Rattus norvegicus: one gene and its partners. Each later gene encodes a partner of the first gene's protein in a complex. Links are inferred from orthologs where the notes say so. Each region holds a gene or a part of one and is shown on either strand. Other genes may lie near its edges. The genes, in order: Arhgef7, Shank1 and Pak1.

Region 1 (7,108 bases):
CTTACCCAGGCAGTGTAGGAACCACTTCCTGTACGGACACCTGCTTCTTCCTGATTTGCCTATGCATGTGCCTTTTCCATTCTGGAACATTGGTGTGTGCACAGTGGTGTACATGCCGTGATCGTGTACACTGCTTTCTATTCTGGGTTTCTAGCACTCCATTCTCGTACTGTCTACCCTCTATTTTCCTGTCACTGCATTGTGTTGTATTTTATTTGCACTGCAGGGATTGATCTCAGAGCCTTAAGTGTGCCTAATGCATGCTCTCTCTGCCCATGGCCTAGGTCACAAATACTCTGCTGAAGTCCTCAGTTGTCATATATTTTAGATAGGCAGTAGTCTTGTTCCTTTTCTCAGATTTGATGCTTTCTGAACATAGTCTGGTCTGCCCTTCTAACCCCATTTCATCTTGTTTGTTTTTGCTCTTTTCTTTTTTTCCCCTGCCTGCCTTGCCTGCCTGCCTGCCTCCCTGCCTCCCTGCCTCCCTCCCTCCTTTACTTCCTCCCTTCCTTCCTTCCTTCCTTCTTTCCTCCGTCCATCAGTCTTCCTTGCCAACTGTCTTAATTAGAGTTACTGTTGCAGTGATGAAACACTGTGGCCAAAAGCATCTTGGGAAGGAGAAAGGGTTTATTTGGCTTACATGTCCTGATTCACAGTCCATTTAGCAAAGTCAAGACAGGAATTCAAACCAGGTGGGAACCTGGAGGTAGGAGCTGATGCAGAGGCCATGGAGGGGTGCTGCTTGCTGGTTTGTGCATCTTGCTTTTTTTCTAGAACCCAGGACCACCAGCCCAGGGGTTGAGGCCACTCACAACTGATCACTAACTGAGAAAGTGCCCTATAGGCCACTCTAGAGCCCAGTCCTAAAGAGGGTTTTGTTAGCCCAGTGAGGCTCTCTCCTTCCAGATGTCTCTAGCTGATATTACGCTGACCTGTGCCTGGCCAGCAGCTGCTTAGAGCGGAGATAGCACATGGCAAATGCTCTAGTGGCGCTGGGGAGGACTTTTGGCATCAGTAGCTTTGGTTCTATGATCTCTGGGTCAGAGTCCCCAAGGCACGGGAAGTCCTCTTTGCTCTCTGTGTGCTAGGAATCTGGTGGATGTGCACTACCGGGGCACAGGAAGGTGGGGTGTCCCCTCAGCCCATGTAGCATGGTGTCCTGTCCCAAGCCTACACTTGTGCGAGATAGGCAGAGCACGTCAGGCTCCCAGTGACCCCAAATGTGACCCTATTTGTGTCCAGCCAGCTGGCACACCCAACTCTCACCACTGAGGTCTACTGTCCCTCTCCACAGTGGGTTCTGGTTAACTGTTTCTTCTCTAAGCTTTAGACTCCTGTGTCCCATTGCCAATGCCTGGGAGTGGGAAGAGCTGCCCCTCCAGCTCTTGACCTGCAGTGGGAGGCGCCTGCCACTTACTCTTGGCCACCCTCGTTACCACGTGGGTAGGAAGCATTTGTTACCTTCAGTGAGACAGTCGTGCTTGTGTCTTCAGTGAGACAGTCGTGTTTGGTGTCTTCAGTGAGACAGTCGTGCTTGTGTCTTCAGTGAGACAGTCGTGTTTGGTGTCTGCAGTGAGACAGTCGTGTTTGTTTCCTTCAGTGAGACAGTCATGTTTGGTGTCGTCAGTGAGACAGTCGTGCTTGTGTCTTCAGTGAGACAGTCATGTTTGTTTCCTTCAGTGAGACAGTCGTGTTTGGTGTCTGCAGTGAGACAGTCGTGCTTGTGTCTTCAGTGAGACAGTCGTGTTTGTTTCCTTCAGTGAGACAGTCGTGTTTGTTTCCTTCAGTGAGACAGTCGTGTTTGGTGTCTGCAATGAGACAGTCGTGTTTGGTGTCTTCTAACTTCGTATACAGCGTTTGAGGCTTCAGGACATGGACTTGGCTAGGTTGGTCAGGCATGTGGCATGTCAGACCTAGCCTTCTGCACACTAGAAGGTTAGCCTGTCAGCCTATAGGAGGGGCAGGGTCAGAAAGGCACAGAGACCGGGCAGAAGAGATCACGGAGCGCCTGCCACTTGCTGGTCTTCTGTCTGATGGTGTCTGTCCTGCGTACAGGTCTCCTGAAGCCCAGCAGAGAGTCGGTGGCTGCTTCCTGAGCCTGATGCCGCAGATGAGGACCCTGTACCTTGCCTACTGTGCCAACCACCCATCTGCTGTGAGCGTCCTCACAGAGCACAGGTTTGTGGCTAAGCCATCTGGGACAGAAGGGAAGGAGGGTGGGCATCTCTGTCCTCTAGGTATTTCATGGAGCGTGTTCAAACATAGCAAGGGTAAGTTTGCTTTCCTCAAAATGAGTGCCCGAACATCAGTCACGAGCTGGTCCATGTGGTTGTGAAAGAAAAGGGTTCTGAGGAGGCTGTGTCTTAGTTAGGGTTTTACTGCTGTGAAGAGACACCACAGCAGCACCTCTTAGAAAGGAAAGCCTTTAACTGGGCTAGGTTACAGGTCAGAGACTCAGTCCGTTATCATCATGGTGGGAAGCATGGTGACACCCAGACAAGCTTGGTGCTGAAGAGGTAACTGTGAGTTCTATGTCTGGATCCTCAGGCATCAGGAGAGAGAGAGAATGACCCTGGGTCTGACCTGTACTTCTGAAACCTCAAAGCTCAGCTCCCCCTACCCCTACACACAGACTCCTCCAATAAAGACACCCCTCCCATAATGCTGCTCTCTATGATCCTGTGGGGATCATTTTCACTCGAGCCTTACAGGCTGGAAGGATGGCTCATTGGTTACTCCTGCTGGGCAGCATGGGAGCTTGAGTCTGGACCCAGAACCCACATTGGAAATGCGGAGCATGGTAACCTCTTCTCTGAGTGGCAGAGACAGGAGGAGTGCCAGAGCTTGCTGGCCGCTAGACTGGCGTTAGCTTAGATCTTGTGTCACAGGTTATGTCGGATAGAGCAGGACGCCCAATATCCTTCCCTCGCTGGTTCATGTGTGCCACAGCAGACATGCCTGTCTGTCTGTCTGTCTGTCTGTCTGACACACACACACACACACACACACACACACACACACACACACACACACACACACCAATACAAGGGGAAAAGGCAGAACAAAAGAGGATCCCTCTGAACTTTAGTCTGAGGCCTTTTCTTTGTTGAGAGCCTGGAGGGAGCTGACGTCTGCTTAGGGGAGTCCTGTAAGCCACGTTGAGGCTTCAGAGCATGGGACAGGGGTGAGAAGCAGCGCTTTGTAGGCAGAGTGCTCACCTGCACACTGTTAGCTTGAGCCTCTCGACCAGAAACAAAATCAGTGTGCAGGATTTCACTCGCTTTGTGTGTTGCCAGCCATATCTTTTGCTTTGGTAAAGAGATTGCTGGGTTGTTTCAGGTATTTTGGGAGACCCCTTACGATGTGTGCTGGGAGTTGAGAGCTGGCATTGTGTCAAGTGACTGAGCAAATGACAAGCAAACTCAGGAATGGTTTCTGATGCCAAAAGAGGCCCAGCACTCTTGATTAACACACCAGTTTTATTACTATTGAAGAAATTATGTGGTTTCATTTATAAACAGCAGTTCAGTATTATTCAGAGCTGTTAATGGAAAAGTATTCATCAGCATCAAGATACTTGTCCTTGTGCTTTTGACTTAAATGACTCTAGTATTTTCCTAACTGAGCACTGGCATGTAAAACTACTGAGACACAAGTAAATACCTTGGATGAGTCTACCCTGCCTGCCTGCCTAGAAGTGTTGCAATACCTAGAGGTGGAGTGGCCAGTCCCTGCTCATAGGATTGTGATAGCAATTGCAGACCGTGCATGCATTTGTCACCGAAGGGCAGACACCGAAGGGCAGACACAGTAAAGCTCCATTATTTTGTTGTCTGACTTTGGTAAGAAAAGTAAGTGGCCCCAGGCATTTTCTGCTCCTCGGTGTACTCAGGTTTTTGACCCTCTGTCTAACTCCTACAATTCTGGGTGGAGTCAGTAAACTTGGACCACTGTGCAGGGAAGCGGGCGTCACAGTCAGAGAGGAAGTAGAAGCCAGCACCTTGGCACACTGTGGTCCTTCTTTCTACCTGAGATTGGGCTGGGTCAGCCTCTCCCTCTCTTTAGCATGAAGCTTACACTTCAGATTGACTCATTGCAAGTTATGAAATTCTACAAAAACAGAACACAGATACTATGCTTGTGTCGGAGCTTAAGGGCAAGTGATATGTTCTGTTCCATCCCCCTCCACACAGATATACACAACACACACACACACACACACACACACACACACACACACACACACACACACACACATACACACACAGTGGAGAGAGTGCCTGGTCCTACAGGGTGGAGTGGGAACAGGAGTGGCAGGGTGGGCAGTCCTGGGCAGAGCCTGCCTAACTTCTGTGGGAAGCAGCAGAGCTGAGGACATGACCGTGTACAGTCCATTCATCTCCACTCTGCTATTACCCCAGGGACTATTTGAGTTCTGTCTGAAAGGCAAGCACTTCTTAAAATAACTCAGGGGAAGGACTCAGATGAGGTATTACGTGGGGAGTGTCCGGGCTGCCTGCTCAACGTGGCATGTTTAAATGTGGAGTGAGAACTTTAGAGCCCGCTCTGAAAGCCAGGAGCAGCTTGGTGTGTGGTTCTGAGCCATAGAGAGGAGCATCCTTCCGAGCCAGCAGATACAGCAGGATGTGGTGTTTGTGTGCCCTTCTGAGGTCCCTGAGCTGTGAGGGTTTCCCCTCAGCCTCCCACAGATCCCGTCCCTCTCCTGAGGCGTAAGTTGGTGGTTTGAGCCATGAGTTCTTTGTGCCTGGTCACTTCCTAAAGCAGCTTCCTCTACTGAGATGCTAGGCTGCCAGTCTCGGCTGCTTTCCTAGATCTGATACCCATTGTGCTGCCACACCGTGCCTGCTCAGTAGAGTCTGTTTTCATGCCTGAGCCTAGTTTTTGAGTTTCTAAAAAAGGTTGTTTATTCAAGTCTGAAAGCTTTGCTTTTGCAAGTCGGGTGTAGTTTATTGATGGGAAGTTTTGCTTAGAATATGCGAGCCCTGGGTTTGGTTTGGTTCTGCATTCTTAGGTGTCAGAAGTGCTGTACCCCTGAGGATGGATCTCCCTACGTGTGTAGTCAGCGCGTGTAAGAGTCCACCCATGGGACCTTTCCTTTCTTGTACGGACAGTAGGCATGGCCTTGGGGGCCAGCCGTTCTGTATGGATTTTATAAGTTATTCTGTTAGAACATATTTTCCACTGGTTTGTTACTTTCGCTTTCCTGGCACCAGAACACTGTGTGCAGATCCCAGGCAGTTACTTTGGCTCTTTTAAATTTCATCTCATTCTTAGGAGTTCTGAGCCGGGGTACTGTGAGTTCCCTGCAGTGACCAGGTTGTGACGTTTCAGTAAACCTGGAATAACGTAATGGCTGGGTACGTGTCTCCCTTGAAAGGGAGAGCCTCTATTAGGCTGTGCCCCACCAGCTGCTCATTCAGAGGAAGTTGGTAAATAGGTATTTATCTCAGTCATCCCACAGTGCTTTAAGATGACTGGATGGGGATGGAGAGAACGGTCTTAGTAAGACTCAAAACCTAAAACAAACCCAATTGTGAGCTCTGAGAAAACATGTCGTCAGTCAAGGGTTCAGCAAAAATGAAGGATGCTGGGAAATGGTTATCAGTTGAAACTTGTTGTAGAAAGCATCAGCTGAATCCTGAAGATGGCTGTGAAAAGGGAGCAGAATGTTGAAGACTTACTAATGCTCCACATGTTGGGCATGTGCATTGTGTGCGGAGCAGACGGTGTGGTGCTGCGACGTGGCTTCCCCATGCCAGAGCCTGTGTGCCTAGCCCTGTCGTACTGTGCTGCTCTGTGTGTGCTGCTGCTGCTCCCAGAGAACGTGTCAGTTCACCAGCTCTCACACATGCTTCACGTTGGGGTGTGGCGACCCTCACACAGGTCTCTGTGGCTCAGGGACAGTTTATTGCAGCTCTTACCAGCTTGCTCTCTGGAGACCTCTGAGTTTGTGATGGTCTCCATGAAGCTGGCATGCCCAGGGTAAAGATGTGCCTTGAGGGGAGAGTGATTTTGATACTTTTCACATTGTATGGTAACCAGCACATCTGGCTGTAGCCATTACAGCAGGCCATTTTATCTTAGAGGAAATTGGCTGTGAAGCAGAGCTCTGCTCTGTGTTCCTAACTGGAGCCTCTTCTCTCTCCCTCCTTGCCCCTGCTGCCCAGTGAGGACCTGGGAGAGTTCATGGAGACAAAAGGTGCCAGCAGCCCTGGGATCCTGGTGCTGACTACCGGCCTGAGCAAGCCCTTCATGCGCCTGGACAAGTACCCCACACTGCTGAAGGAGCTGGAGAGACACATGGAGGTTCAGCTGCTCTCTGATCTGACCCCTTATGTCTGTGAAACCACCCTAGAGCTTGTCCAGAGTTCATAATGCGGTGTTTCAGGGGGACTTTGTTAAGCATGGAGATTTTCTCCTCCAGCCCTAGGAGTAAGATCTGTCTTTTTACTTTCTCGTGTAAAGGCTCCAGAAAGCTGCAGAGCGTAGTTTTCAAATAGAGCTGGGTGTCCTCGCAGCATTTAGTTACAGGCAGTAGGGCTGAATGCTGAGTGACACGGGAGGCACTGATTGTGTGTGGGCTAAGAGCATGCACGTCTGCTGCTGCTTTTCCTGGGTGTCTGCAGACGCCTTCATGCTGTTTCTCAGCTCCGCCTTGTAGGGCAGGGCTGTCAGAGATGGAAGCACTGTGGGGCCATGTCCTCGGGAGGCTCCTACCAAACAGCGTGGCTCGCTGACCCTTCTTGGAAGTTCTGTTTTAAATTAATTTCCCTCCAGTCTTTTAGGCACCGTAATCCTTTAAAAGATAAACAGGCCTCACACCGAGAAACAAAATGTCTGTGGGGTGTTTTCGATGTGAGAGTTAATCCTATCTTTCTTTATCCAAAGGATTATCATCCTGATAGACAAGATATTCAGAAATCTATGACTGCCTTCAAAAACCTTTCAGTAAGTGGTTAAGCGTATGACTTTCTCTGACCTTCTCATGATGAATGCATATTGGGTTAGCACCCAACTGGAAGGATGCACAGTAACGAGTGAGTTGTGAGTTAAGCGCAGTGTTTACTGAGATATGAGGACATGCATA
Region 2 (7,844 bases), on another chromosome or scaffold:
CACCTTCCCATCAGAAGCAGGAGAGAAGCCAAACCCCGGCCTCGGTCCTCAGTACAGCCTGCTGGGGCCTGAGAGAAAACCATTTTTCTGCAATCTCACCCCATCTCCCCTCACCCTTCATCTTTGCTGTGTCCTTCCTAGCCTGTTCCTCCCTCTGAAGACTCTTCCCTCAGCTCTTTCTCATTGCTGAAACCTCAGCTCTGGCCACCATGAGATGCTTTCTCAAAATGCCCCCTTTTCTTCTAGGTATGATTCAACCAGTATGGTCTTGTTTATTTACCTCTGTCTCTTACAAGCCAAGGCATGGATTTGGGGCTGTTTCTGAATCCCCAAATCAAAGCAGGGCTTCCTAGCACCCAGTAGGTGCTCAGTTAAGCTGATGAATAAGACCAATGTTAAAATAACTTGGTAAAAGGCCTTAAAATCAGACCTTTGTGTTTAGGTTGCCCCGGAGTTCTCACGGTGTCTGCCAGGTGCTGAAGGCAGGGGAAGGTCCCAACGCCAGGCCATACCCATGCCATGCCAGGCTCATGAGTCCTGCAGAGCTGTTCTAGCTTTAGCCTGGCAGGTCCTGCCAATTCATGTACCAGAGATCTGGGGACCCAGGCTCTGCAAGGACAAAGCAAAGAAGCTCAGAGAGAAGACATGGCAGCCTTATGGAGGTCACGGGTGTGGCATCATGTAGCCAAGGCCTCTGGCCCCAAGCAGGTACCTCACATCTGCCCTCAGCTGCCGAGAGCCCCATGAGGGGCCTTGTAAAGGAACACACCAGTTTTCAAGGAAGTCTAGTACACAGAGGGCAGAGTGACCTTGGGCAGCCAACTGACTCCCTTGGAGCCTCCCAGATGCTCATCTGTAGCACAGAGGTCTCTCATCAGAAGCTGGAGATCTCCATACAATGCAGAAAGGCCTTGTAAACTGTAGAATGCTTTATGGCCACTCACTGCTTGTACCAACACCAGCAGCTGTTCTCCATGGGCACAGCTGCTCAGCACCTGGGTGGGTGCCTCAAGATGAGGGCCTCTCTGAGCTGGGTACCAACTTCAGATTATCCCAGAGAGCCCGCAGCTGGAAACAAACCCAGAAACTACCTAGAACTACCCTCTGTAGGAGCTGGTATTCCCTGGTGGCCCTAGGGACGCTGCTGGACAAAGTGGAAGCCATGGTTGAAGAGGACTGAAAGGAACTGAATGAATCTGCCTTCCTCTATGAATGTACAGGGTAGGAGAGGGCTAACTACCTGCAGACAGTTAGCTTTGCATGCCCATGTATGTGAAATTGGAGGCGATACAGGATACATAAGGGCATACATCTTCAGGTATGCTCTTTGAGAGACCGTAGCAGGACTGGGGAGAAGATGGAGACACCCTCTGCGTTCTTCACCCTTGATACAACCTCTTTATAACTGGGTGAACTGGGCCAAATTACTTAGCCTTTCTGTGTGCTCTGACAGCAAAGAAGTCCCCGATCCTGGCACCTAGCATATACTCAAGGATAACTGGGGGAGGGGGTGCTGTGGGCAGGGTGTACAACAGTCAAACAGGCATACACACCTATGATGGACAGTGGAGTGGGTGAGCTGGCTGGGACACCACACACGTCTGTCTACCCGTGCTTCTGGTGGGCAGATCTAAGCCTGCAATTGGAGTGTGCCGTAGGTAAATCTTGCAGGGTGCTGTCAGTGTGCCGTGCCACAGGGGTGTGACATTGTGCATGAAGCCGGGTGTGTGCCTCTGGTCAGGTATACTGGGCAGGCACTGTGGGTATGCTTGGTTTGCAGGACCTGCTTGGAAGAAGGAGTATGTGCTTAGGTACTTCCATGTATGTGGGCTTATATGAAAAGTTGTGTGCATGTGTGTGTGGGGGGGCAGGGTATGTGTATGTGGAGGGGTGAAGGTACACATATTTGGGGGTACAGGACCAGAATCTGTCGATTCTGGGAATATACAGACACTACAAATACAAATAGCACCCCACCATGTGTAGAAAGGGTGGGGAGCAATTTGGAGGAGGGGCTCCCCTAGGACGAGCAGGATCTCGTTTGGGTACATGGGGGTAAGCAGGGGTGGAGTCTGGGTTTGGGGATGGGGCAGTGGAGATGAAGGGTGGAGGAGGGCGAGGGGAGGGGGTGGAGCCGCGTTTGGGGGGGAGAATGGGCGAGGTTTGGGGGCTCAGGGAGGGGCGATATCTCTCTGCGGGCTCCCGGAGGGAGGGGAGAGGGCGGAGGGAGGGGAGGGAGGGAGAGAGAGGAGAGCAAGAGAGAGAGAGAGAGAGAGAGAGAGAGAGAGAGAGAGAGAGAGAGACCGGGTGAGGGAGAGACAGCGAGTGCGAGAGAGCGAGCCGGGTGGCAGTGGAGGCGCCGAGCAGGAGCAGGCGGCGGCGCGGCGGCCCCTGGCAGAGGAGGAGGAGGAGGCAGAGCAGGAGGGAGCCGCGGCGCCCGTAGCCCGGCCGGACCCCAGCCCCGGGGCGGGCAAGGAGGGGCTCACGGGCGCGGCAGAAAGGGGGGCGCGCTGCGGATGGCCGGGCCCGGCCCGCGGGGGGGGTGAGGTCCGCGGCCCCCCCGCCCTCCCCCCGGCCCTCGCCCGCCCCCTCCCGGGCCCGCTCGCCCTCCGGGGCGGTGGGGCATGGCCTGAGGGTCCCCCGTATTCGGGGGGGGTGGGGGGTGGGGGGAGGGGGGAGGGGCCGCGGGCGCCGCCGACCGGGACTCAGCAGCCCCGCCAGGCAGGTAAGGGCATGGGGCACTACTGGGAGGTTCTGGGGTAGGGTGCAATTGCAAGAACTGGGGTTGCGGGAGAGGGCGGAGGCGCCCCGGATGTCCTTGGCCTGGCGCCGGCTCCGGCCTGGGTGTACATTTAGGGTGTGTGTCTGGGGGGTGAGGGTGTGGAAGGTAACGTGGCCCCTACGGGTAACATCAAATTGGGTTGCGACCCGGTCCCGAGTGCCCCGTCCCAGATCGTATCCTTGCTAGGAGGGTGTGCCCCATCCCCCACGTGCTGCGCCCCCTAAGCCGTACTGGTCTCCGAGGCTCTCCGGGGCCACGACTGGGTCATGGTCCCCGCCTTCCAGCCGGGCTCGGCCACTCCCCCGCCTCGCCCACCCCAGCACACCTGGGCCCCTCCCCTAGGTCACCCTTGTCCCCAACCACTCTAACCCAGGGTCTGGGCCAGAGTCTCCCACGACGACTGGACCTGGCGCCCCTTCCAGGCGTCTATAGTTCCTTCCCACCCGCGCCTCGCGTGCCCATCGCGCCTCGGGTTCCTTCTCCGCAGGCCGGCGCGCCCCCTCTGCTCCCGCCCCCAGTCCCAGCTCCCTCTCCCGACCCAGGGCTATTCTTTCACCAACCTCCCTGCTCCCGCCTTCCTCCACCTCCATTCATTCTCCCGGTGCCCGGCTCCTGGCCACGCCAGCCGTCCCCTGTCCCCCCGCAGCCTCTCAGGGCACCCCCTCTCTCCCCTTCGCCACCCCCCCTCGCCGATTCCTCAGCCCGTCTCGGTACCAGCTGCGTGCCAGCTATTCTTAGCCGCCGAGCTTTTGATTCATGCCGCCCCGGCGGAGTGTGCCCGCTCCCTCCCTCGAGGCCGGAGGGGGAGGGGCCCCGAGTTGTCCTGGGTGTTGGGGCAGTGGAGCCCGCGCTATGGGGGACCCGGCCTTTGCTGACCTTTTATCCCACCTGCCACCCCATCCCTGCAGAGCTGTAGCTGCAGAAGGGATGTCAGCCAGGGTCAGCCGAGGGGGAGTGGCTGAGGTCACACTGCCAGGCGGGAGGTTGTGTAGGGCGGTCCGCAGACAGAGCAGGAGGCCCGGGTCTCCTCCCAAGCCCAGCGGGTTGAGCAACAAGGCAGGGTACCTGGGATGGGGTGCTTCAGAGCTCGGTCCCCGCGAGGGGGAGGGTTCCTCAGCCCGCGTTTAGACGCCTGCTCGCCTACAGTTCTTGGAACTCTCTTCCTTAAACATTTCGTCTTTCCTTCCCCAACCCTCCCTCCCCAGCCCATCCCCACTCCCCCAAAGTCAGCAGTACCCTCCACTGCTTCCCATCTCCATGGCAACGGTGCAGGAGCCGGGCCTGGTGTGGGGTGGGAGGGACCAGACCAGACATTCTGCTTTCCGGTTCTAGAGTGGGGAGTGGGGGGTGGCAAACAAGAGAGAAGAGGACCACATTTGGAAAGGTGCCACCCCTCAGTAGGCCACTTTGAGAGGGACGACCCTCCACATCTCCTGGTACCCCATATTGTTGCAGCTCACTTCTTAGCCTCCTCCCCAGACACCCCACCCAATCCAAGTTCTCCTCGGTGAAGCCGCCAGTACCAAGCAGTGCCAGCCCACCCACCCTGCTGTGCCATTCCTGAAACACCCACAGGTCACCTGCAACTGCCCACACCCACCCAGGCCACCACAGCTTGTCACCTGGACCTTCCAGCCAGAGCCAGGGCCAGCCTCCCAATCCACCCACACATCCTCTTCACACGCCCCAGTAACCTCTCATCGTTCCCTTGGGCACAGCTCAGGGGAACTTCTCTTTTCTGTTCATCCACCCCCACTCGTGTCCCTCCATCCCCTACAGGGACAGCTCATTCCCCACAGCAGCCCTCTAAACATGTGGTCAGCCACACTTCAGTGAAATCACCAGCTCTCGGGCACCTCCTGCTGCCCCAGGCTCAAAACTTACACCTCCATCTCATCTTTACTATTAAAGTCAGTCTCCACCTCCCTGGGGTGAAGGGGCCAGGCTCTGGCCAGGAGGGCAGGATGCCGGGGTGGATTGGTCCACCTGTCTGTCCTTAGCTAATTTTAGCTTCATTTTTTTTTTTTTTTTTTTTTTGTAGCTTGACAAAGTGGGCCACTAGCTCCCGCGGTGATTCTGTGATTTCTAGGACACACTGGGTCAGCCACAAAGTGGAGCGCAGGGGGATGGGGGCTGCAAGCAGGGCCAAGGACAGGGAGGAGAAAGGTGCCAAGAAGGCTGCAGAGGTGGTGCAAACTTGTCTGTGCAGAGGGCTGAGGGCATGTCTAGTTTCCCTCACCTCCCAGAGCAAAGGGAACAGGCTGCCCCTGTGTCTGTCTACTGAGTGGAACTGGTGGCCTCTGAGTGACTTTACAGTGAGGGTCACTCTTGCTTTGCCCAGCTGCCTGTGATGCTGCTGTCCCCCGTCGCCCCGTGGCCCCACGATGACCCACAGCCCCGCGACAAGCGAGGACGAGGAACGCCACAGTGCCAGCGAGTGTCCCGAGGGGGGCTCAGAATCGGACAGCTCCCCAGACGGACCAGGAAGAGGCCCCCAGGGTACTCGGGGCCGGGGCAGCGGAGCACCTGGTAACCTGGCCTCTACCCGAGGCCTCCAGGGACGCTCCATGTCTGTCCCTGACGACGCCCACTTCAGCATGATGGTTTTCAGGATTGGCATCCCTGACTTGCACCAGACGGTGAGTGGCTACTCACTTGCCAGCGGACAGACAGACACATTGGCCAAGTCTTTCCCCACCCTCAATCCCAGATCTAGCTGCAATCTTACTCCTTTTCCAACCTACCCTTGACCCTTGGATCCTTGACCCAACCTAGCCCTGACCATCCTATCTCCCACCAGAAATGCCTACGCTTCAACCCGGATGCTACCATCTGGACAGCCAAACAGCAAGTACTCTGTGCCCTGAGCGAGAGTCTACAGGATGTGCTAAACTATGGACTGTTCCAGCCAGCCACCTCAGGCCGGGATGCCAACTTCCTGGAGGAAGAGAGGCTTCTAAGAGAGTACCCTCAGTCCTTTGAGAAAGGGGTACCCTACCTGGAGGTGAGGCCACAGAAGTCATGCCCTGAAACACATCCACTCCAAGTCCAAAAGAACCCCACAGTGGGCTCCCCAAGACTACCCAGAGTCCAAATCGCCAGCTGAGTTGCCTCAGATGGTGTTCCTTCCTCTCCCTAAGCTCCTTATGCCATCAAATGAGGGAATCCCAACTACAGTCATTCTAGAACATTCGTGTAATTGGTGGTGGTGGGGTCCATGCTTATACTTACAAGGTAGGGGCTATAGTGCCGTAGACCTTGATGACCTGGTATACTTGGAAAGGTCACCCGAACTACAGCCATTTCCATGCTAAGCCTGAACTCATTCTGGGAGGATAAGAGCAGTGTCAGAAATTGCTCCCCAACCAAGAGTCTGATAAGTCTGTGTCCCCGCATATCCTATCCCTGGCCTCAGTTCCGCTACAAGACCCGAGTCTACAAACAGACCAACCTGGATGAGAAACAGCTGGCCAAACTGCACACGAAGGTGAGAGTACCCTGCTGCCCCCTGTGCCCAGAGCGCCCTGTTCATCACCTTCTTTCCCAGTCTCTCCCCAGCAACCATTCCCTCTGCCAACCCCTCGGCTACACCAAGTCCCCCATTTAACTTTGAGGGTGCATCCTGTTTGGAGACACCCATTCGTCTCCATCATAACCCCTTCCCACTTCCCTCTGTGGCCTCACCTGCCTCAGATGGCATCTGTGCCTGGTGTGTGTATGGGTGGTGCTGGTGGTGCCGGAGTGAGTGGACGTGCACATGTGGAGGTCAGAGGATGACTTAGGGAAGCCATTATTCTCTTTCCACCATAGGGATCCTGAGGATGGAACTCATGTTCAGGCTTGGTGACAAGTACCTTTGCCTGGTGAGCTGTCTCACTGGCCTCACCTTATGTTTAATAGTCTTTTACTGGCTTACCACCCAAGTCAGACTAGCTGACCAGGAAGCCCTGGAGAAATGTGTGTTGCCAACTCTCAGGCACTGGGTTTACAAGTGCACACAACCACCCCTGGCTCTCTTATGTGGTTTCTGGGGAATCAAACTTGGGGCTCCATCCTTCCATAACAAGGCTTTACTCCTAGCCCTCCAATCTGTTCTTTGAACTCTTGCCTTCTCTGCTCAGGAGCACTTAGGGTCTTTTTTTTTTTTCCCCTGCATCAGCCAATTTCCTACCTGGGTAGTATTTCATGGACATCCACAGTTCCCCAGTCCTATGCCTGTATCTCCACAGGCTCTGACCTTTTTTCTCAGCCACATTTATTCTGTTTGGTCCTTTCCCTCCTGACCTTGGGTAATATCTCTCCTGTGTCTGCCCTGGCCCTCTAGGAGCATGGAGGAAATTAGGAGGCTCCTCTGGCCAGAGGGAAGTAATTCTTGACATTTAATGGAAAGAAATTCCCTAATCTGTTCCCCCCCCCCGCTTCTCCCTCCCACACCATCCACCCTGATCTTTCCCACTCCATGCCTTCTCCTCTCTACCTGTGTCACCCACTTTGGGAGCCAGTGGCCATGTACAGCTCCTTTGTACAATGTGACAGGTGTGAACTGAGTCACACCGCAAAAACAGCACAAAAATTCCACTGCATCTTTTTCTAACATTTATTTTTAATTGTGTGCGTGCGTGTATGCGTACATGGGGGGGGGGGGGCTATGTACATGTGAATGCAGACACCCAAAGAAGCTGGCATGCCCAGCTGTTAGATGCCCAGAAGCTGGCATTAACCTGCCATTGGTGGGTGCTGGGAACTGAACTCTGTAAGCACTCTTAACAGTTTAAGAGATCTCTCTAGCCCCATAAATATCTTTTTTAAATTACGTCTATTCCTTTCTCACTGAATGTGTCTGGTGGCAGGGTTAGGGTTGAATGCTCATGTCATGTCTCACATGCGGAGGTCAAAGGATAATTTCTAGAGCTCAGTTTTCTCCTTCTCTATGGGTGTTCTGGAAAATCAAATTCAGGTTAGCAGGAGGTTTGGCCACAAGTACCTTTACCACTGAGCCATCTCACCACCCCCAGACCATGGTGTTTTAATTACTTTCTTGTAGATTGTGTATCAAAACAGT
Region 3 (7,686 bases), on another chromosome or scaffold:
CACTGAAAATGACCAACTCCGCTCTTCTTTGGCAGCTGGAGGAACAGACTATGTTGAGAGTGATATCCTGAATGAAGAGCTGGGTGCGAAGCGTCATGCCCGTAATCTCAGCACTCATGGCAGGCTGAGGCGGAGGATTTTGGCTTTGGAGTTAGCTCTGGGCTACATAGCAAGACCCTGTCTCAAAAGCAAACAAAGAAACACAATGTACTAGGGTGCTAGAACTGTCTTCATTATTGGCTTTGGCAGGGTCTTAGGGACAGCACAGCAAGTGGTGTCTAACAATTGGGGTGGCCATCTCTAGCAAACATCCCCTTTCACTTTAATAACATAGACAAGCCCTACCCCTGACTGGAGATGTATTTCTTTCGACTAGGGAATAAATTAGCACATATGGTGGCCTAAAACAATACACTTGCTATTTAAAGTAACTTAGTTCAGAAGTTCAAAGTGGATGTATATGGGTTGAAATCAAGGTGCCAGAGGATCCAAAGGAAAACTTTTCTCTTGAATTTTTCCATCTTTTGAAATACGCATTCAAGAGCAGAGCAGTTCTTATCTCAAAGTCCTGATTTAATCACACCTGCTAAGTGCTTTGTTATGGAGGGAACCACATTTACTACTTCCCGGGGTCAGAATACTAACTTTTGGAAGAGCTACCATTTGCCTGCTGTGGAGACAGTACAAAGATAGTGTAGAGTAGGATACATTTCCTGGGTGGTGAACCTGGGATAAATTATATCTGCACATATACCTCAGTTTCCTCATCAAAGGGCAAGGGGAACAGGAGGAAACCTCAAATGGTTGTTATAGATGTGTTTAGCAAGATAGCATTAAGAAGGGCTCAGAACAGCACCCAGCACACAGTAAGCATTTATTTAATACAGTTTTGTTATTGTTGTTGGATACAAGGTCTCTGGATCTCACAGAGATTTGCCTTCCTCTGCCTCTTGAATGCCAGGATTAAATGCCTATGCCACCATCTAGACATTTAATATATATTTATTATATATTAATATATATTTTTTAACAAATTGATTGATACTATGTATCAAGCACTGCTCCATGTTGGGGGGTACAGATGGGAATATTTTGTGGAACTGATTAAGTCAGATATACAATTACAGTTTCTTGGGATAAAAAAGTCAGGCCAGGTGGTACATTTGGGAAGTTGAGGCAGTTCTAGGCCAGCCAGGAATCCTAAAAGGAAGAAAGGGGATGGGGAGGGAAAGGGAAAAAATAGGTGAGAAAGGTATAATATTAAATTCAGGGAACCTTAGAAATATTAGTCAAAGTCCTAGATTATTGTGATACTGGAGTTTTTCTTTGTATAAGGAATAGATGTTTTCAAGCCAGATAAGGAAGGAAGGGCTCCTTGATTGGAAGAAGAATGTTAAAAAAATATCAGGTAGTATTCTTATGTAGTTTGGGCAAAGGTAGAGCGTGAGACAAAGCAAGAAAGGCTGTCATAAGCAGCCAGCCTGTGAGTGCTGTGTTAAAGTTTGGACTTTATCCTAAAATCAATAAAGCATCTCAGACTGTTTAAACAGAAGAAAGCGATCATAAGTTTTGTAGCTTTATAAAACTTCTCTGGAGACCAGTGAGTGTAATGAGTTAGATTTTGATTTTGAGAGTCTAAAGGTTGCTTCTGTTGCCCAGGTGATGGTGGTGAACAGCGAGTTGGGCAAGGGCTCGATGTGTTTGGTTTTTTTTTTTTTTCTTTTTTGTTTTTTGTTTTTCAGCTTACAAGCCGGAAGCTCAATTTGAAATTAATATTGAGAACAAGGATCTGATTAGAGGGATGTTGAATGGTGTCCATTGGCTGAGAACATGAAGGGAAGAGGTCACTAGAAATACCTATTATTTTTAAGGGCAATGCATACTAAACTGTATCTGTTGTTATTAATTCGAAGCTTAAGAGAGGCCAAATTAGGATAGTCAGGTGCAATGTATAAAGACATTACGGGTTAGGAATTCAACTTAACTTGGATATCTGGGGTGTGAAATAAGGCTCTGAGTTTTGGCTCAGAGTAATAACTTTCTTGGTTTTGGGTTTACTGAATTTGTGGTACAGCAGGACATGCAAGTGATGAATGCTGCTTTACAGGTATTGAGAAAAATAGAATCTGAGCTCAGGTAAAAGGTTTGCGTCAAAGATAGCCTCAGTGGTGGGAGAAGAGGAGAAAGAGTGTACTTTTTCCAACGTGAATTCAGTATATCTCAAAAGTTTCCGCTATTTTTTCCCCGCCCTTACTCTAACTCTTACACCCCCTAACTAACCCCAAGACAATGTCAGGGTCGGAGGTGTCGCGAGATGAGACAGTTTTCACACTTTCAGCGCTTGGCGAAGAGCATGGGGATGACATGGTGCTTTTAAATCCAAGGGGCTACCCTCGTTCCACTCCGACTTCACGCTAACCATCTTATAGAGCATCCAATTTCATGGAAAAAGGCCGCTTCAAAGAGAGAGACCGCGACAGCTCCGAGCAGACACCCGGCCCCGGTGACGTCACGTGGCAGCCAGGTGATTCCCTAGCCTCTGGCGTCAAGTGCTGATGACGTCATCCCGGCGCTCCACCTCGTCCCCTGGCCGCGTTGGCCTGGTTCACGTGGGTCTGTCCAGCGCTCCCCGCCCCCTCCCACCTGCCGGGGGCGGAGGCCGGACGGAGGGGGCGGGCCCGAGCTGAAGGAGGCGTGGCCTGGGCGGGGTCGCAGGGCGCGGCGGCAGCGAGCCGGGCTGCATACAATAGCAAGGCTGCGACCCGGGCGGAAGGTACCGCCGCACGGTGGGCGCTCCTCACCGCTTCCCCACACCTCCCAGTCCCACTGCACCTCTAGGCTGCGCGGAGTCCTCTCGGCTATTACCGGCTCTTTGCAGCCGCCTGTGCCCCCTCAGAGCCCGCGCTCTCCACAGTCTCCTCAGAGAAGGACCCCCTCAGCGAGCGCACCCCGCCCCTTCGCAGTCCGGGCGCGCCTCCCGCTCCCCGCGGCCCGCAGCGTCCCGCCCTCCAGAGCCCGGCTCGAGCGGCGAGAGGAGAACGCGGGGCTGCCGCCCGCGCACACTCCCGCGCTCTCTCTGGGTTTGGCTGCCGCCAGGAGGAGGAGGAGCGGAGCGAGCGCAGAAGGTGAGAGCTGGCCTCCCGCGACGGTGCTCGGGGCATCACGGCGGCAGGGCGAGGGCGCGGGGTTGGGGAAGGCGCTCGGGGGTGGGAGGGGCGGGAGTGAGGGGGGCGGGGGTTGGGGGGCGGGCAGGGGCGCCAGGTGAGCTGAGGCGGGCGCCGCCCCGCGAGGCCGACCGCTCCCTTCGGGCCAACAAAGGCCCCCTGTGCGACCACGGGTTCCCGAAGCCGGGGCACTAGGGACCCCGAGGGTCCACAGGTCCGGGTCCCGGACGGACTCCCTTCCGAACTTCGGGGTCCTGGTACGCTAAAACTGGCCCGCGACGCAGATGCTAAGTGAAGCAGTGAGGATTTATTCTCCGTGGTCAGCCCCGGCTTGGGAATCACTTTTCGGGTTCATTGCCTTGAAAAACAGACTGGTAGTAAATGACTTGTGCTACCCCTCCCCCACCCCAGGAATACTCGGTAACTTGGGAAGTTCCGCACAGACTTAGAAAGAATGGGAATCATAGTTGTTTTTTTTTTTTTTCCATTATTAGTCTATTTCAAAGGCAGAGTTAATCCAATCATCACTATCTTGGATCTTTTAAAGGTAAACAATACTGTGAGTGTTTTTGGAATAATACCTGACAATTATTGGGCACCTTTTAAAAATATAATGTAGCCTAAGTTTCTTATGTTAAACCCCTTGGATAATTATCTTATCCTTTACGATGTTTCCAGAAGTGTAAAAGGTAAAAGAAGAGATTATTAATCAAGTTAGTACTTCTATTTTGAGAATCATTCTTGAGAAAAACCTTTGTCCCCTATGTTTAAGGGTCTTTCAACTCTGTCAGGAGGAAAATGTCAGCAGTACAGAGACGCCTCACTAGGCATTCCCTCCTTCCTCACTCCCAGCCTTAAAGTTCCTGGAGTTTGCTTTTAAAGTTCACAAATGAGCAGCTAGCTAGCAATCATCTTATCTACTCAGCTTTCAAGATTCCACTGAAGAATCCTCTCCACTGTGGAGTCTTTGCTGGCATCCATTCTGTCTCCCTCCTAATATAACAGTCTTCTCCCCATTGGGACTCCCAGAGGCCCACAGAGATTTCTTCTGTCTGCCTTGTAACACATTCTGTTTGGGAATCTTAATCATGGTACTCATGAATACAACCCATTTCAACTAGAAGCCACCTCTCAAAAGGGTTTTGGCATCTCGACACTGACATTTCCTGAAGCTTATTCCAGTCTCACCTGCTACATGAACTCATGGCTTGGCCTGATCAGTTTACTTAGTCATCTGTTTATCCAACATTACTACTATAATCTGGAGTGGTGCAGTGTTTGAAGCTGCCTCCTAAGTCTGTGCTGATCTCAAGCATATCAATACAGTCAGTCTTTGCTTACAAGACCAAGAGCTCAAAGTTTAATGGGTGAGGTAGACTTGTAAACAATGAAGGTCCTCTGGGGGACTCCAGTTGTGCAGGGAATGGTGTGCAGTAATCGAGGTTGCTGGACCTGTCTTACAAGTCTTGTCCTGGCCACAGTAAGTTCGTAGGGAAAGTGACTGGCCCTTCATCCGTAAGAGTTTACCTGATACAAAGCTTATCCAGTTCAATTCAACATATATTCTGAGTACCTGTTTGGAGGCATTATGCTAGGCTTGCAGGAAGCTGTGCACTTTGAGGGGTCTTTGCAAAACAAAACCTGCTCATATCAGTGCTTCCTACCCTCCTACTCCCTTTTTCACAGTTGAAGGATTAACCTCAGACTTTTTAGTGTGAAACAAACTTCCTGGAGAGCCCACTATTGCCTACTTTAGCATCCTCAACCTTTCTGTGTCCTGTCCTCTACCTCCTCTTCTCATCTCTTTTCCTATGCTGCTTTGCCTGGAGTTCTACTGTTCTCCCTCGTACTTGCCTGTAGAGAATCCTTGTCGGACCTCTGAGAAGCAGTTCTTCCTGCTTGTCTCTGGAAATGAGGTGCTCTCCATCTTCTGCTCAGTCTCTAGAATTTTTGTACTTCTCTTTTAGCAATCAGTTGCAATTAAATTTGAATCTTCACCTTTGAACTTTAGCTCGTTCCTTCCCTCCCTTGTGGTACTAGGGTCAGGTGCTCTACTTCTGAGCTATGTCCCCAGCCCTTGGATATCTCATACTGAACATTTTTAAATTTTGAGACAAGATCAGCCTTAGACTCATTCTGTAGCTCAGGCAATGAACTTTTGATTCTCCTTTAACTTTCTAACTGGACCACTGGAGATCACTAGGTTCAACTGCCTGTGAATCCTTTCTTTTTTTGGACATGTTAGGGCTCCCCTTTCTTACGTTTTATTTTTTTATTGTGTTGTGAGTGCATGTATGTGAGCTGTGGTTTATACAGAAGAACCTTTGGAAATTGGTTCTCTTTCCTGGGGATCAGACTCAGGTTATCAGGCTTGGCAGCAAGCACCTTTTCTTAATGAACCATCTTGCCAACCCTATATATTATTCAATTTTATCTTTGTTAGTGTGTGTGTTAGTGGGAATTCTGCGGAGGTCAGAGGACAGCTTTCAGGAGTTGATTCCTTCCTTCTCTCTTCACAGTGAGTTTCAGGGGTGGAACTTATTAGGCATGTTTATTAATGCAGATGCTTTTTTTTTAACCTGTTGACCAATCTCATTAGCTCTACTTTTTATTTTGAGACAGGACCTTCCTAAGTTGCTGAGGCAGTCCTTGAACTTGGAATCCTTCTTTGTCTAGCTTCTGAGTAGCTGGGGTTACAGGCCTGTGCTACTAGGCCTGCCCCTGAATTACTTGAGGTCAAGATATGTTTAGATTTAGTGTCTAGCAAAGTTCCTGGTACTTTGAGTACATTGAATGAATGAATAAGTACTTCGAATGAATAAATATGTGAGCCAGTGAAAGAAAGAAGTCCTGTGAAGCTCATAAGCTGGGTCACCTAATCTTTAGGATGGGACAATTAGTTGTTAAAAGTATGGTCCTTCCTTGCACCAGCAGTGACAGCATAATCTGGGAATTTTGTCAGTATATTAATGAGTCTTATCCCAAACCTACCAAAAAAAAAAATTAGGGTTGGAGCCCAGACTTCTTTGCTTTATTAGGCCCTCCAGGAGATCCTGATGCTTATTAAGGTTGAGAAATAGTTACAGAGTTAAAAGATCTGTTTTTGTTTGTTTGTTGTGTAGAACCAGCACCCCATTCTCCCTTTTCCCTCATTTCCTTCCCCTATCCCTCCCTCTGTTTCTCTTCCTTATTCTATCCTGACATTCTCTTCTCTTCACATGCTCTCCTTCCAGTCTTTTCTCTTGCCGCTAGAATGAAAGCTGCTTGAGGGCTGGGAGATTTTTCTGTTCTAGTTCATTGCTTTAAGCTTATGCCTAGAAGAGTGACTAACCACAACTAGCACAGACATTCAAATATTTGTTAGATGAATAATATGACTTAGTCCTGCTTACTGCCAGCTGCTACACTGGGGTTTTGTTGAAGAATACTTTGAGTGAAGAGTAATCACATTCCAATTTGCAAATCCAGAGAATCTTAACATTTTGGGGGATTCATTTTCACTTTGGCCAGCTTAGTTACCTTCCTTCTTTCCCTGTGTTTTTTTAATTTATTTTTATTTTTTAGTATTATTTGAAACAAGGGGTCTTGCTATGTAGCTCAGACTGGCCTTAAACTTGTGCCAGTTTCCTGTCTGACCTTTATTTTTTTTGTGTGTGTGTCTCAGATAACAGTTTATTAACATGGAGATATTATTGTTAGCTTTTGTACAATGCATTCAGCAAACCAGCAAAACTTTCAGAAAATTGTCATTAATTTCTTCAGTACACTATGTAAACTGTCTGACCTTCTTGAGTGCTGAGATTACAGGCATATGCCTGGCTTTGCTGTCTTTTTACCATAGGAAAAAATCTACAGGGTTTCCCAACTTATAATATTGTTTTAGCCATGACCTGAAAACTACTGAAATATCCCAGGCCAGGATTCTTTCTTGAGAATTTGCAGCTTGGTTTTCCAAGTCTAAATGAGCACTCAGACTTTTTGAGTCTTAACTTGAAGCTGTCTCCTCCAGATCCCCCGTGGTTTTTGTCTTTTTCTAGGGATATTTAAAAGCATATAAAGGTCTACTTGATTCTACACAATTTCTCTTCCTTATGAAGCTTTAACAGTGCTTTACTTTATGTTTTTTTCCTTCAAGCCAGGGTCTGTCTGTTTAGCCTTGGCTATCCTGGAACTCACTCTGTAGACCAGGCTGACCTCGAACTCAGAGAGGTCTGCCAGCCTCTGCCTCCTGAGTGCTGGGGTTAAAGGCATGTGCTGCTACCCCCCCCCCCCATGTGTGTATATGCAGAATTCGTATATGTACATTTTCGTGTGTGTATGCGGGTATGTGTTCACTTATGTGGAGCCAGAAGTCATGTTTGAATTGTTTTCCTCAGTTGCTTCTCCACCTTATTTTTTGAGACTTGGGTCTCTTACTAACTTGAAGCTTAAGGGCTCAGTTAGATTGGCTGTCAGTAACCCTAGGCATACCCTTGACTCTGCCTCCCCAATGCTGAGTTTATAGGTATACTACTGCTCCCAG

What was found.
Region 2: the proteins of Arhgef7 (region 1) and Shank1 are in contact, whole or in part, in a crystal structure (PDB 3L4F), measured with the Rattus norvegicus proteins. Residues at the interface, in XP_063131056.1 of Rattus norvegicus: Asp735, Ala737, Trp738, Asp739, Glu740, Thr741, Asn742, Leu743; in NP_113939.2 of Rattus norvegicus: Gly673, Phe674, Gly675, Phe676, Val677, Leu678, Arg679, Gly680, Ala681, Lys682, Phe696, Glu703, His735, Arg736, Val739, Ile742.
Region 3: the proteins of Arhgef7 (region 1) and Pak1 are in contact, whole or in part, in an NMR structure (PDB 1ZSG), measured with the Homo sapiens proteins. The link is inferred for Rattus norvegicus from reciprocal best matches to the Homo sapiens genes ARHGEF7 and PAK1. Residues at the interface, in NP_001106983.1 of Homo sapiens: Lys192, Phe193, Phe195, Thr198, Asp201, Glu202, Glu217, Gly220, Trp221, Trp232, Pro234, Ser235, Asn236, Tyr237; in NP_001363202.1 of Homo sapiens: Thr185, Pro186, Pro188, Val189, Ile190, Ala191, Pro192, Arg193, Lys198, Arg203, Ser204.

What each region holds. Positions count from the first base shown.
Region 1 is NC_086034.1:84,399,419-84,406,526, reverse strand, and holds part of Arhgef7 (rho guanine nucleotide exchange factor 7), read left to right. Parts: intron 1-2,055; coding exon 2,056-2,178; intron 2,179-6,188; coding exon 6,189-6,327; intron 6,328-6,909; coding exon 6,910-6,969; intron 6,970-7,108. UniProt on the Homo sapiens protein: Acts as a RAC1 guanine nucleotide exchange factor (GEF) and can induce membrane ruffling. Functions in cell migration, attachment and cell spreading. Promotes targeting of RAC1 to focal adhesions. May function as a positive regulator of apoptosis.
Region 2 is NC_086019.1:103,942,132-103,949,975, forward strand, and holds the start of Shank1 (SH3 and multiple ankyrin repeat domains protein 1), read left to right. Parts: upstream 1-2,687; 5' UTR 2,688-2,725; intron 2,726-5,123; 5' UTR 5,124-5,166; coding exon 5,167-5,421; intron 5,422-5,582; coding exon 5,583-5,786; intron 5,787-6,197; coding exon 6,198-6,269; intron 6,270-7,844. UniProt on the Homo sapiens protein: Seems to be an adapter protein in the postsynaptic density (PSD) of excitatory synapses that interconnects receptors of the postsynaptic membrane including NMDA-type and metabotropic glutamate receptors via complexes with GKAP/PSD-95 and Homer, respectively, and the actin-based cytoskeleton.
Region 3 is NC_086019.1:161,519,689-161,527,374, forward strand, and holds the start of Pak1 (serine/threonine-protein kinase PAK 1), read left to right. Parts: upstream 1-2,761; 5' UTR 2,762-3,125; intron 3,126-7,686. UniProt on the Homo sapiens protein: Protein kinase involved in intracellular signaling pathways downstream of integrins and receptor-type kinases that plays an important role in cytoskeleton dynamics, in cell adhesion, migration, proliferation, apoptosis, mitosis, and in vesicle-mediated transport processes.